2 linked regions of the Drosophila melanogaster genome follow. The protein of the gene in region 1 interacts with the protein of each later gene in a pairwise test. Each region holds a gene or a part of one and is shown on either strand. Other genes may lie near its edges.

Region 1 (8,144 bases):
CGTAAACAATTCGCGAAATAAACATTATCGTAAAATAAACAAACTTTCTTCGGCTATTTTTTATTCGCAACAGCTATTGAAAAAGCTCAATAGCTAAACATGTACCATCAAAGATTTTGTTCCCAACAACAACGAATTTTTACTGCACCCTTTGTCCGAGAATTACGATCTCTTATTAGGAAGAAATTTTTTAGCAGGATCAAAAGGAAAAATAAGTTACCGCGATCAAGAGGTAACTCTTTACAATAACAAATACACATTAATAGAAGGAATAGAAGCACAAGCACAGAGTCAATTTCAAAATGTAAATATGATACCTGACACCACACCAGAAAAAAATTCACCCATATTAGAATCAGACCTATACAGATTGGAACATTTAAATATCTAAAAAAAAAACAAAGATTGTGTGCACTCCTGCAGCAATACCATGACATACAGTACCATGAAGGTGACAAGTTTACATTTACTAATCAAACCAAACATACCATCAATACAAAGCGTAATCTACCCATTTATTCTTAATTATACAGTTACCCACAGGCTTATGAACAAGAGGTATGCACGATATGCTAAATCAGGGTATTATACGTACCAGTAACTCATCTTACAATAGTCCCATCTGGGTGGTTCCAAAGAAACAAGATGCGTCAGGCAAACAAAAATTTTAGGAAAGCTAGGCAGGTGTAATTATTTCACATCTATAGACCTGGCAAAGGGTTTTCACCAGATCGAGATGGACCCAGAATCAGTTTCAAAGACAGCCTTTTCCACCAACCACGGTCATTATGAATACTTGCGCATGCAATTCGGATTAAAAAACGCACCAGCCACCTTTCAACGGTGCATGAATGACATTTTACGACCGCTCCTAAATAAACACTGACAACCGCTCAGAATAGTTTTTGAAAAACTAGGAAAGGCTTAAATTAAACCTTAAATTACAGCTTGACAAGTGTGAGTTTCTCAAGCATGCAACCACATTTTTGGGACATGTTCCAAATACAGACGGAATAAAACCAGACCCTTAAAAGATTAAAGCCATTCAGAAATACACAATTCCCACTAAACCAACCGTAAATTCATTCCAAACTTTGCAGACATAAGCCTAACCCATGACTAAGTGTTTAAAAAAGATCAAAATTGATACTACCAACCCACAATATGCCTCAGCATTTAAAAAATTAAAATACTTTACAAAGAAATTTATTTTAACCACAGACTCTCCACAAGAGTACTCTCACAATGAACACGAGGTCAATTACAGCGCAATTGAGAAATAACTTGGCAACTGTATGGGCGATTAAGACTTTAAGCAAAATAAAAACAATACTTAAGATATACAATCACAAGACCAAACACGATACCACTGGACCACTGGATACCCTGTACACATATTTCTCAACAGTGACAGAATGGTATACGAAGTCGACACGAGATACTGCCCAACACAAAAAGCCCACTACAGAAAGGCAAATTAGAAAATCCATTTAAACTAGCCTAAAATCTAGAACAGACTGACCCTGACCATTACAAAATCACTAATAGAAATAGAGTTACGCACTACTACAAAACAAAAGAAAAATAATCTACTTTCAATTTCACAGCCATCTGGTACCTGATGACATTATTGCTTATAACCAATTATTAATCGTATCCCACATACCCACTTACTTTTCACTAATAAACACAATTAAAATAATCCAATTCCATAGTCGGCTTCATTACGAAGAAAATTACTCACAACGTTTTGACTTCGACCGATTTTCTTGGCTATTACACAGTGTTTTAAACCAGATTCAATATAGCCTTTGATTTGACCTTTTTCAAAATCGGATAAAGGTTTTCCGCGGACCATTTGAGAAAAAGATTAAAAAAGATAATTTATATTTTAGAATACAAAAGAATTTAACTTTTTACAATCACGCGGTCAAACAAAAAGTAAAGTCAAAAGCGTAAAACCTATTCAGTTAAGCCAAAAAATTGAAGATTTTTTGTTGTTTTTGAAAAAAAAAATGATATAAAAACAAATTTAAGAGATCAGAAACTTTGCTATTTAACAGCTATTAATAACTGAGCTATTCATACATACAAATTTGTTTCGGATTTAAAAATAGTCAACCTATTCAGTTGAGCGGCACTGTGCATTGATTCGGCTATTACTATTTCTAAGCTAAATAATAACAACGTTAAGGCTATGCAAAACAGGAATTTTGTAAATGGAGACAATTGATAAAAAATAATAAATATTTAAAGTCTAGAAACTTGTAAAGTGAAGGGCATTTTTTGTCAAATTAACAATGCATGAGCATACGTGTGCACACATACAGTTGCCGGCTGTCACTGTATGAGCTGTTTGCTGTAAAAAAACAGCTCCGAAAAAATCGTTTTCAAAAAAATCGTATGGCGTTACGCATCTTGTTATTCTAGTGTCTTTGGTCCAACCAACATAGCATAAGGTCTAAAGCCAGGGGTATTCCACTTTGTTACCTAAACTGTGTAAGCGACCCCAACAATAAAAATATACATAAATATGGTCAAAATGTTTTTGTTTGATAGAAAGTAGTTTTTAATAGAAATTTACAAGACTAGTTCTGTGCGGTAAACATTTTTTAGGCTATCAATAACTTAGAAAAAAATAAATGCAATCTTAGTTGTATTAGTTCTAATGTAATTGGAAACATTTAAACTTATCATAGTTGTAAAACCCCGCTCGCACTTGACGTCCTCCAAAAAAACGTCCATTAAGGTCCACTACAGCTGCAAAGAAAAATAAAAGCTAACTATTTACCAAACAAAGTATTCACATATGTATAAAAACCTTTAATTGCACTTTCGATCCGCCTAAACTCTACGAATATTTTAACTGCATCTTCTGGCACAGTTCCGAACGATTCGTGAATGATTACACTGTTCACTTCCCCGTACTTGGTGTTGCATTCGTCTTTTACCTCGGGTTCCAATTCTTCGTCAACGTCCCCGGGTCCTACCATGTTGCGTAGAAGAACAACCTTGCTTGGTGATTTCATAATCTCCGTAATGCTGTATCCGATGTCACCACTCTCAGCCGCCGTGTCTACCATCTGGGGAGGAGGCATGGCCTTGTGGCTGGGACTTGTTCCTATTTGGGAGCCAATAGAAGGTGGCGACAATGCTAGGGGTGGCAGAAAAACGTCTTTTTCGTGTATGATCCGTCCACCACGTTTGGAGGTTTTCTCTACTTGAAGAGCTATGGCCATGCCCTGCTCCGATTTTCCGAGACCTTGACCATCCTTAAACCCATATTTTGCCATAATTTTGGCGGCCACCGAGCTGGCAGAATATGGCATAGTATTAGTGGCTTCACAACCACTATCAATGGACATTTCTTGGAGGGAAGGAGGGGGAGCGATTGTGGCACCTCCCTGTTTAGCTACAAGGCCCGGAGATGGCAAGTACATGTCATCATCGTTTTGCCGGTGGCCAAACCCGCTGAGCTTCAGGTTAGGGGCTGAGACTTCGTCTCTATAAAATTCTCGACGACCGACGCGTCCACGTTTACGATCTTTTTCTTTGTCATCTCGGTCTTCTCGATCACTTACGCCTGCTCGATTTTTGTCACTGCCATTACTTTTCTCTTTAAGTTTTTCATATTCATTTGGCCTTTGAGGATCGTATTCATCGGCAACGTCCCAGTCCCCCCTGTTTATCCTTTCCAGTATGGATGGAAGGGCTTTACCACTTATTAATGGTTTGGATACAACTGTAGTAATTGGAGCAAAACATGTAACTTCTGGATCTGCAAGGCGTTTGGACCTTAGATTAACCACTGGCGTCATAAGCTACATAGGGTGTATTAATAATTGTATGATCTATATCGGCAGATTGTATACTCACTGGTTTTTTGACAGCCATTTTTACTGCCAGCTGGGTCTGTAACATTTTTATTCCCGAAGACCATCCATCAATCTGGCTAGATCGAGCCCTCGTATCAATGCCGTCATACAAATCCATTAACAAATATATCAATACTAGCACCACCTTAAGATATTGATGACAACGAGCTTCAACAATGTTTTTATTTATTTTCAAGGCCCGATAGATTTAATGACTATCAACTGTTCGACTTAATGTCCGATTCACACAGAGCCATATCACTGCAAGAAAGGATGCCCTATCGGGCAAGAACAGATAAGCTACAATAGAAAAAAGTTTACAAATCTATTTATTTATTTAAATTTATTTTAAAATTTTTCTAACACAAAAAAACGCATGCGTCTATTTTATGTTGAAACTTAAGTCAACTACATGGGTCATCGAACTGTTTTTAATTTCACTGTTTTACTAAAATAAAAACTATTGCACAACGATTGCCTTGCATCTATGGCATAGTCATAGTTAGTAGAGCTTACGACTTACACGCTAAATATTATCGATATTGAAGAAAAAAATTAAGAAGAGCTTACAGTTGTTAAAAACAAGTCGTACTTCATAATGTTTTCGTTGCTTTCAAAATAAATACCTTGAAAGAAGGTATTTAATTACCTATGCACGATAAGATACTACTATCATCGAATATATAGGAAACAAACCCCTTTAAACGCTACGAAACAAGGAAAATGTTACTACTTCTATTCATGAGAGTGTGGGCGGGGCTTAAATCGAATAACTTTGTATAAAGATTTCCCATAGTTAACACAAGTTAAACTTCTTAAAACTAATAAAAGCAAAACAAGCATCAATTTTTCACAATTCAAAATTTTATGATAAATAATGCTTGAGAGAGCCAGTAAGAGCGTCGTCTGTTTAGCCGAACCATTTGATTTTGTAATGGTTTTTGTAGCGATAAATTGTGCAACAGTTAATGTATAGTGGATTGAACTGTAGTTACTCGATTGCCAAGACATAATAAATCGACTGAGAAAGTAAAGGAAGATTCCTGCGGGGAATGTGCTTTTCGTAAGTTTTGCATATCTTAGCATTTTCATTGTGTCATTTAAAGAGATTTGTAGATTAGTGTTGATCAAGATCATACAGAATTGCCAATTACATGCGGCACGGGGACTACCGATGTCTAAGCAAAGACATTCGAATATCAAGAGGTTTGTGACGGCCAAAATTGCTCTTACTCCGCCTCGCGTGAAATTGAGAGCGTAGAAGACGATTTTCGAACCGAAATTAATATTGATCTAAGAAGCGAAGTTACATATTTAAAAATGATTTAAAAATTAATGCCTTGACCATTATTGTTTTTATTCTTAATGTTATTTAAATTATTATCAACCGTTCACATAAATATATTTTATTGTTTATAATTAATATTTGTAAAATGGTACTGGAGACATACTTCAACATGAGACTGTGAGCAACATAACAGAATTAAAATTATGTTTATTATTTCAACTAATAAATCAAATGAATTTTATCTAAAATTGTGGATAAAACTTTTGTAATTTAAAAAATAAATTTAAAAAATATATATACATTTTAAAAAATGTATTTCATAAAAACTATACAAACATACATACATAGTTAAAAATGAATATTTATATAATAAATATAAATATACAACTTGTTGCTAAATTTTAGGGCACGACATGCGGATTTCATACGTCGCGAGCTGAATACTGTGAGGAGTCTTAAAACTCTCAAAAAATACAACTTAGGAAAGCTGCTTAGCAACAGCGAAGACGGCTGGAATGTGAGAGTTGTCAGGCGGCCAGGTCGAACGGAAAATAATGGACCTTGGACCCCGACAAAGTGGAGAGACCGTGAACTAACGGTATTGCGCTGGACCTTTGACTCGAGCTCTGGACGGCCAAGGCCCAAGGTCGAACGGTAACAATGCGGACTTTGGACGAGCACAAAGAGGACGCACCTTGAACTAACGTGGCCTTGTACCTGAGCGGACCGTGCACAAAAAAATAACGCGATCCCCGCGACCACCTATACCAACAAGGCGACAAGAGATTCGCGAGTGGGAACGAACAGTGAGAAAGTAAGAGTAACGCCGCGAACAGTCAACCCGTCAGTGAAAAACGCGCACCCGTCGACAAGGTAACGGTCTGTGAGAACGCGCAGGACGTAGAAGGGAATTAGCCAGTGAGCGGACATACAAGGACAATCACTCCAGGTGAAGAACGGTGCAATGCAGAGATCCGCGGAGCACGATAACACAAGAACCTGGTCAGAAGGGACAGTGGAGTCAGTGGTCGGTAAGGGTAGTCCCTGGCCGAGTGTTGCCTTAACCAGTTGACGATATACCCTGGCCCATGACATCCTAATCCCTTTCGATCCTGCACGTGTTCCGTTGTCAGGGACACACAGGAAGATGAAGGCAAGGCGTCGCAGGAGCAACGCCGCGCAGCAGACGGCGATCAGCAGTCAGCCGTGAAATACTACAATAAAGCGCCCTTAATCTGAAACTCTGTCTTCTCCTTGGTCAGGTACTCACACAAATCAAAAATTTGATGGGACGAACACAAAAACTCTCTGAGCTCGCCGCTGCAATTCGTAGCGAGTAGAACTAAACAGCTTGTTACTTTTGGCGCCCAACCGTCATTGTTTTGATCAAGCAGCCAGCATGGAGGAGACCAATTCATGTCGGAGACGAATTCTAATAGGGGAAGGGGAAAGACGAAACGGGGATCGTAATCTTCAACTCGCGAACAGAAGAAGGAGTTCGAGCAGGTACACTCGCGCAGGAAAAAGAGTTCGAGCCTGGAAAATCAGCGCCGGCCCCAAGTAGGGTATGCACCTGGATAATAGGAGCAAGAACTCAAGAGGACTGAAGCCGACTGACAGCGTGGAAAAGGCAGGGATGCAAAGCGATGGTTCCCAGCATCAGGAGCAAGGATGCCACCATAAAGCTGCTATCGATGTAAACAAAGCAAATCGGCTGTTGGCATCAAAACAGTGCATAAAATAGGGAAGGGGCGCCGCAATAATGGCGGTCGATCGATAGGGCAGAAAAATACTGGACTTGCAGACAATAAGAATTTTCTTGACAAACTAGTTATTTACCTTTTTTGAGATCAATAAACCTCATATTAACAAGGAGTGAGTTCGACTTATTGCGTCGAGTATATACACGTACAACGCTATGGCGTATTCTGTAGGCATGCGATGATGTCCTCCATTGAAACTCAATGGGGGATGTTACAGATTGGTCAGATTGGTTAACACTGGCCGACTGTTTGTTACGTATTGTTTTCCTTGAGACATGAATATGGGCGTCATTCGTTGAACAAGGCTTGGAAGCGATTTGTGGAGTTGATTGAAGGGCTCATTGAAGGAATTGATGGGCTCAATTACAATTATTCCCATTCTCTAGAACTTCCAATTAACGTGCCTACTTTTAGCACGACCAGCTACCTTACAATAGTTAATAAGAAACAAATTCAAGTTGCTTTGGGATCGATCACAGGTATTGTTTTGTGAGTTGTATTTCGCAATCTGAAGTCAGTATTAAAGTCATATTAAATTTATTTTTTTATTTTCTATCGTGTTAACGAATTGAATTTTTATAGAGTGTTAGAAATTTGGTGGTTCATCTCCATTCATATAAAAAAAATGCCCCTAAAATGTTCCTATTTCGTATTTGTATTAAAATTATTCATGCATGCTCCGAAGTCTGGTCACACTACTGACACCAAGCAAAACAACGCGAAAAAGTTAAATTAGTTTTTACCGCAAAAGCCCATAGAGAAGTCCAGAATTCTGGCACATACAATAAACAGTGACCCCCAAGTCACTATAAGTGAAATCATAGTGAAACCTAAACAATTTCAATAAAAAAAAGACAGTGTAATTTATTCTTTGTTGAGCTCCCCTGCCCAGCTGTCACGCGGTCGTACAATCAGCTGTCATTTTTATAAATGTGGCAAGCCCAGCAGCAGAAGAACGTGTAGTGAGCCGAACAACTTGAAAAAGTGAAATTAGTTTTCGCCGCAAAAACCCATGGACAAAATTTGTAAAATTCGGGTTGCTACACACTGTGCGTCATCAGATAAACGCCCCCTGTATGCCTCCATTTCATCTTATGGTCTGTATTTTCCATTGCACGAAAATCTATCAATGTTATTGTTTTTTGTTCACTGATATTTCCTCTCTCTTTGAGGAAAAAAAAATAGGTCCTGAGAAGAACCGTAATCTTTTTAATTCTG
Region 2 (6,669 bases), on another chromosome or scaffold:
CAACCACTTTTCCCTGCGGTCGGTGCAACGGTTCGGAATTGCCAGTCAACGCGCTGCAGGACATGCCTGAAATGAGATGAAAATATGGCTGCAGTTGGCTAGTTGGCCATAAGCATGTTACATGACGCCCTGCCAAAGGGGAAACTAAGGCCAAAAGCCGATGCGAGCTGCATAGGGTTGCCAAGCAACCAGAGTTCCCAGCTCATTTGCAAGGCTGCACACAATGTAGCTATAGAATTAATTGGAATTTAGGAATAGATGAGGTTTGGATAGATGAGTTGCCGTCACATTACCAAAACTCACATCCTAATTATATAGTGGCTAAAGATGATTTCAAAGAAGGCAGGAGGCTGAAATGAAAGTTATGTAGATCTATCAATAAATCTATTAACAATTCTTTCAATTAAAGCTTTGGGTATGTAAATAGACCTATTTCGCCTGTTGCCAGATTCTCCATTCCTCTATACGAGCCACTTTGCCTATGAATGTATCGATTGATTGCCATAACTTGTCCTGCAGTTGGCAACCCATTGGGAACGCCCCCCCACCAAAGTTCCGTCCATTCCCGGGAGTTAATTCCTGCAGCCAAGGCCCGGAAAAAATCGAATTACTCCATTTGCATGTGGAAGGTTCGGCGCGGAACATTCAGGGAGTATGGAAATTGTGTTGAAACTGAGTATGTACATGCATAAATAGTTTACTGGCATCGCGTTGGGGTTCACATTACCGAATCCTTGCTGTGCACCACGTGGCGTATGAGTAACGCAACGCCTTATTAAGCCGGACAACTTTTATGAGGGAGACCAAAAAGCTTATCGAGCACCAGGGCAGTGCATAAAAAATGCCGCTTACGCAGGCAAATTATTTTGCTTCTGTATCGTTTACTTTTATTCCGCTCCATTTTCGCTTTCATGGTTTTTTTTTTTCTTTTGCTGTTTGACACAAAAATGTAAATGAAATTCACTAAACGAATTTTCTTGTTAAACGTCACAAATGACCACGCCCCATGCCGAGACGTTCTGGAGTGCAGAGGGGGAGGGGGGGAGGGGCTGTGTTCGGCGGTTGTTCAGGCGGTCTGGGTTGACAAACCCAAATGCTTTTTCTGGCAGCGGCAACTGGCGCCACATTTTCAAATACACAGTGCAAAAAATTGGTACTTAAACCTAGCATAGTCGTAAATTGCCCAAAAACAATAGCATTAGTTCCTCATTACATAGTTTGTAGTACTAACTTTAAACATAAATACAGTTTTAATTGTTGCACAAGTTGCTCCTCAAACGAATTGCGATTGGCGACCAGTTGATAGGCAGCCACAGGCTTAAAATGCATACAAGTCCTTTGCTGCCCCGGCTCCTTGTTCTGCTGATGTTTTCGTTGTTATTGTGGAAGGACAACGCTCACTTGGCTGGCCTTTTGTTTTGCAAACAAAGCAAAGTGGGCGTCAGGAAGGGCGGCATGGCAATAGAAGGCCATGGCGGCAGCAAGCCATAAATCAATTGGCAGCGTAGAAAAATTGCAGAAAATTACTTGATATTTACGGTCACTGAGCACACAATAGACCCGGCCCCGCCCACTTTTCACTCTTCCGCCCACCAAACCCACAGAATCGCCCATCGCCCACAGAAAGCAACAAGTATTGGCCTGGCATCCGTGACACTCAGGGACAGCGACAGGACATTTGCCGGCTATAATTACACTTGTACCTTGCGTCGGGCCACATGTCGTATTAGTAATATGCGCCAAGGCCAAGGACGTTGCCCAATGGGGTTGTGGACCGTCTCCAATTTATTTAATAAGCTACTGACAACTTGACAACTGATTTATGACTGGCCGAATTCGAAATTGAATAGTGAACGTTTTTAAGGATTTAAGTTATATTACTAAGAAGTCAAAAATGATAGAATCTGAGTGTGCACTTTGACCTACATTTGCTTTAATATTTTTAGAAATTTTTCTTTCAAAAGTTTGTTTATTGAACGTACTTTATGATATAATTGGTCCGGACCATTTTATGACGTCTATAAACTTGGCCTACTCATAGGCACCTAAATCCTTTTACATTTTAGCAAACTAATATATGTGAAAACTTTCCCAATATTTCTGGCAAGGAACCCCTCTGGTACGCACCCATGTCCCTCTCGGTATGATGCACTGCTCTGTCGACGCTCTCCAGGAATAGCTTCCAGCTGGGGCACTAAAAGCAAATGAACTAGGGGGCCTGGTGGCTCTGCATGTAATTATTCTGTCATCCGAGGTGTGTCACCCGGATGGAGCACAGGAGGAGCACGAGGAGCAGTAGCCCGAGGAGTTACTTTGAAGGGGACTGGCCTGGAGGAATGGATGGAGGTATGGAGTGATGACAAAAGACAGGCGGCCAACTGGCCTTGCCCTCTGACCCGGAGCCTTGTTGTTTATGGCCACCCAGTGCTGTACATGCGGCGTAATTGCATTGTTGCCGTTGTAATTACAGGCAAACATGCAGTTAATTAAAATCATTAAAATGCCTTTGCCTTTTGCCATTGAGCCACTCAGAGGTGTAGGTGGTGTGTGTGAGTGTGAGGATGCCTAGAAGACAGCTGGGAGGAGCGACCTAATTTCCGGCGAAAGGGAAAGGATGTGCCTTTCCAACTGTCACAGCGTTGAGTGCAAATTATTTTGGATTTTTTTCCAGCGTGCCTGGCACAGACTTTTGTTTGAAACTCTGATGGCTGCCGCATGTCCTCGTCTGGCACGATTCCTTGGATTGATTTTGATTAATGCTCCGGCAGTCGCAAGTCGAGCAAATCATTTTCACGCTTGCCAAAACATTCCAAAGTGACAAGCTCGTGCAAAGTCAAGTGTATATATATTGCACACATACATATGTATGTACATAAGTGTGCGCATCAACGGACCAAAGCGTCAAGTGCAGACATAGCAACCGTGTGTCACCTTAAATTGTTAATTGTTTTCCCTCAAACTTTATTTCCACACGCTTCATCAGTCACGAAGTGAGGCCATCTCGAATGGCACCTCGTACGAGTCGTACACCACCAGATGAACCTTCTCCAACAGCGAAAGTCCCTTCAGTTGGACATTCCTTTCGCTCTGCAAGCACAGCAGACCCAGTTCCATGCGGCACTTGGAGCAGTGCAGATTCTGGAATCGCTCCCCATTTGTCTCCCTGATCCTGTCCTCTTGGATTAGGTTGAAGGTACGGCTCAGGAGCAAGTCGTAGGGCGTCTCATTCACTTTGGCTGACTTGTAGCTGACGATATTGCCACAATAACGACAGGCATAAGCAATTTTAAAGGCAGACATTTGAAATACGTACACATACTAGGTTCCTTGGGTGATAGAGAATGTGAACTGACTTACTGATATATATTAGTTGTTCCATTAAATAATTTCATAAATTCTAGACTAAAAAAGTAAGGAGCTATTATGTTATATTTATGGTGTTCTTTATGTGAAAAGCATACATTTCCTTTTATATCTAAGCCACTTTATAGATGATATAGCCAAATTTGACCACTTAGCAATGAAAGAACCTTGTGGGTATGTATGCGAAAACAGTTTCCAAAACGACATGAATTCACAAGCTGAAACTGAACTATTGATGGCCACTATTTGAGCCAAGTCGACCCATCATTAAGGACGAACAATCGAAGAGCGCATTAAGCATATTTGATGCTCGGCGGCAAAGTTGATTACAAACACAATGTGGTGTATTCATGGCTGGTCACGGCAGCATGTCCTGCAACCTGCATCCCCCCCCCCTTCCCTTCCTAGATAATTAATGAGTTTAGGCCGAGTCCTGGGATGGGGTTGTGTGCCCGGAGAGAAGTGTTGCCATCATCGTTTCATTTGTTTATGCGTCTGTTTGCAGCTGTTATTTTATTCAGGCTCTCTCGCCTTGAAGATAATTTGCGCACGTGCTTCAGATTTGGTAGGTGTGTGTGTGTGAGAGTGTCCTTGTTTCGCCGGAAACCGGAATGCGGTGGTGTGGGTGCACAGAAGGCACACGCACCTACTTTATGCTCGGATAATTGCGAGCATTTGTCTTGGGCGTACAGCCAAATCCGTATCCAAAAGCAAATTACGGATTCTCATTTCTAACTGGAGCCACAGCAACGGGGCCAATTAAAAATGTATGCTCCCTGAGTGCCAAAATGTGTTATGCGAATTCAATCAATAAATTTCAGCTGCTTTCATTTGATTTGATGGGTTTCCTTTTAGAATGCTTTTAATTACAGCAGTTCAAATTAATGGAGTATACAATATACAATAACATACAAAAGCAATAATACAAATTGATCTTCAGTCGGAATTATTAAATTAATTTAATATTAAACTAACCCATTTAATTAACACAGCTAGAAAATAAGTAATGTTTTAAATCAAAACTTTATGGCTGGAGAAGCAAGCAATTTCCGAAAATCTGATCGACTTAAATGGTTTTATTTTCGAGCGAATTTCAATTGGTGAAATACCGATCTGAAATTTTGTATCTCAACTACTGGGTTAAATTTGCAGTCACCCGAGAGCCAAAAGATTAAGCCAACTTTTTTATAAGTGGTCCAACTAGAACAACAAATTAATGAAAACTAAGTTGAACATTCTCAAGTTTTTCCCAACTTTTTCGCTCTCTTTCCCTCACCGCCCTCTCTCTCTCTCTCTTTCTGTTGCTTTTCGTCTTGTTTTCGGTCTTGTTGGAATAGACAGCTTTGGAAGACGACCATTTCCACCATTTTCCGACCTCCGACCGAAATTGATGAAAACGAAATTGATGTTGACTCCTGGGCGAAAGGGGATGGTGGATGGGGTAAAGAGGGGGTGTCTACGTCGATGCGGTCGGAGCTGCCTTTTTGGCCAAAAAACGTGGACTGGCAAAGGGAATGGGGAAAGCTTTTAGCAGATACTTTACGCAAATCCCATGGGAAAACATTGGCCCACTTTCTGCCACAGCGGCCCCATCATTAAAAGTTAAAAAGGATTTTCAACGGATTTACGAATTTCAAGCTGAGCCCGAAAGACAAACAAAGCCATCAATTTACATATGCGAGCAGGTCAGAGCTAAAAATTCGGAAATTCTCAAATTCTCAGCTCCCAGACGTCGCTCCCTCGGCAAGAAATGGAAATACTAAAATTCAAGAAACACAATTTAAGATGCAGCCAGCGTTTTGGTGGGCGACGAGAAAATGGGTGGTGCCTTCGTTCCACCAAAAAAAAAAAAACAAAGCCGAGCCAAGACTGTCAAGTAGTCGTCGTCCCGCATCCACTTACGCCAGTCCCAGTACCAGTCCCTCGTCCACATTCTCACCATCGTCCTCGGCCATTTCCACTCGTAGTCATCGTCGTCATCGCAAGGACCTTGAGTTGTGCCTTCCATGGCTTTTGCCTTTGTTGTGCTAAACTTGTGGATTAGCTAAATGCAGGCCGGGCATGCCACGGCATGCAGGCGGCTTCATTCCGGTAAGTCAACCCGGACAACAGAACCCCCCTCCCAGCCATCTTAGAACCCAGCCACCCATCCACGTCGCCATCTCCTCCAAGAGGACGCCCACTTAAACCTAAACATTTCGCCTTCTTGGGTTTTTATGAGCTGCTCATGTTGGCGTTTTGCTTTCCTCGCATTCTTACTCGGTCTTTCATTTACTTACACCTGATGTTTGGCTTATTCTTATGTGCTCCTTGGAGGAGAACCTCCCTCCCTCCCTAGCCACTTCTGAGCACCCTTATAGATCTTAATGACAGAAATTGTGCGTTATCATTATGTGAAAAATTTGGATGTCAGTAAATTAAAGAATTGCAAGGATTGACTGTTGATTTCAGGCTGTTTACGTTTCAAAAATACGTTTTTATATACATTCGCATTTTAGAAAAATGTATTTTTTTCAAATAATTGTCAAATAATTGTATTTTTAAATAAAATCTTATTTATTAAATGAAACATTTTTTTGTTTATATGGCCACACTATACATCGATTGCCAGCAACGGTAAAGATGTTGATTTACATTCAAAACGATTTAATGAACGGTAACATCTTTTTTTTTGCAGCTGCGAAAAATCAGCTGGTGACGAACCCGCCCTTAAGGACTCGACTTGAATCAGGACTCGAATCAGTTGAGCATCAGGTAGCAGTCACTGTCCTTTCGAATCTCCTTAATATACATACAGAATTGAAGAAAAAAAAAATCGGAGCTATGCAATTTTTCTTGGCTCTGACATTGATTTTAGCCTACAGTTTGGATACCGCAAACGGAAGCTGCGAAGGATCGTTAGATTTGGAAAATGGACGATTCTTCACACGATCGAACAATTTAGTGATTTTCCAATGCAATCGCGGATTTGTGTTGCAGGGAAATTCAATACACACCTGCGATCGGGATGGTCGACTTCGCGAGAAGAAACCATTTTGTGCCAGTGAGTGTTGACAGTTTTCGAAAATGTACACCCTTTCAAATCGAACTAAGAATATGAAACAAGAACATTTCATATCATCATACTAGTTATCAACAAAATTTTGATTTTTTTCATTTTAATTTTAAGGGAAAGGATGCGATAAGCCTGAGGATCCCACAAACGGATATGTTTTAGATAATCCTGTAAAGGCGGAAATCGTGTGTTTAGATGGTTTCGTTCTATACGGAAGTCGCACTGCCTTCTGCGATGGAGAAAAGTGGAGC

The links.
Region 2: the proteins of Spf45 (region 1) and CG13171 interact in a two-hybrid assay, tested with the Drosophila melanogaster proteins (one large-scale study listed by BioGRID).

What each region holds. Positions count from the first base shown.
Region 1 is NT_033779.5:23,064,324-23,072,467, forward strand, and holds Spf45 (Spf45), read right to left. Parts: upstream 4,064-8,144; 5' UTR 3,994-4,063; coding exon 3,877-3,993; intron 3,869-3,876; exon of another isoform or gene 3,822-3,868; coding exon 2,822-3,821; intron 2,761-2,821; coding exon 2,666-2,760; 3' UTR 2,551-2,665; downstream 1-2,550.
Region 2 is NT_033778.4:12,210,661-12,217,329, reverse strand, and holds CG13171 (uncharacterized protein), read right to left. Parts: upstream 3,321-6,669; 5' UTR 3,301-3,320; coding exon 2,980-3,300; 3' UTR 2,935-2,979; downstream 1-2,934. Other genes in the region: Sr-CII (scavenger receptor class C, type II), read left to right, coding at 6,187-6,406, 6,533-6,669.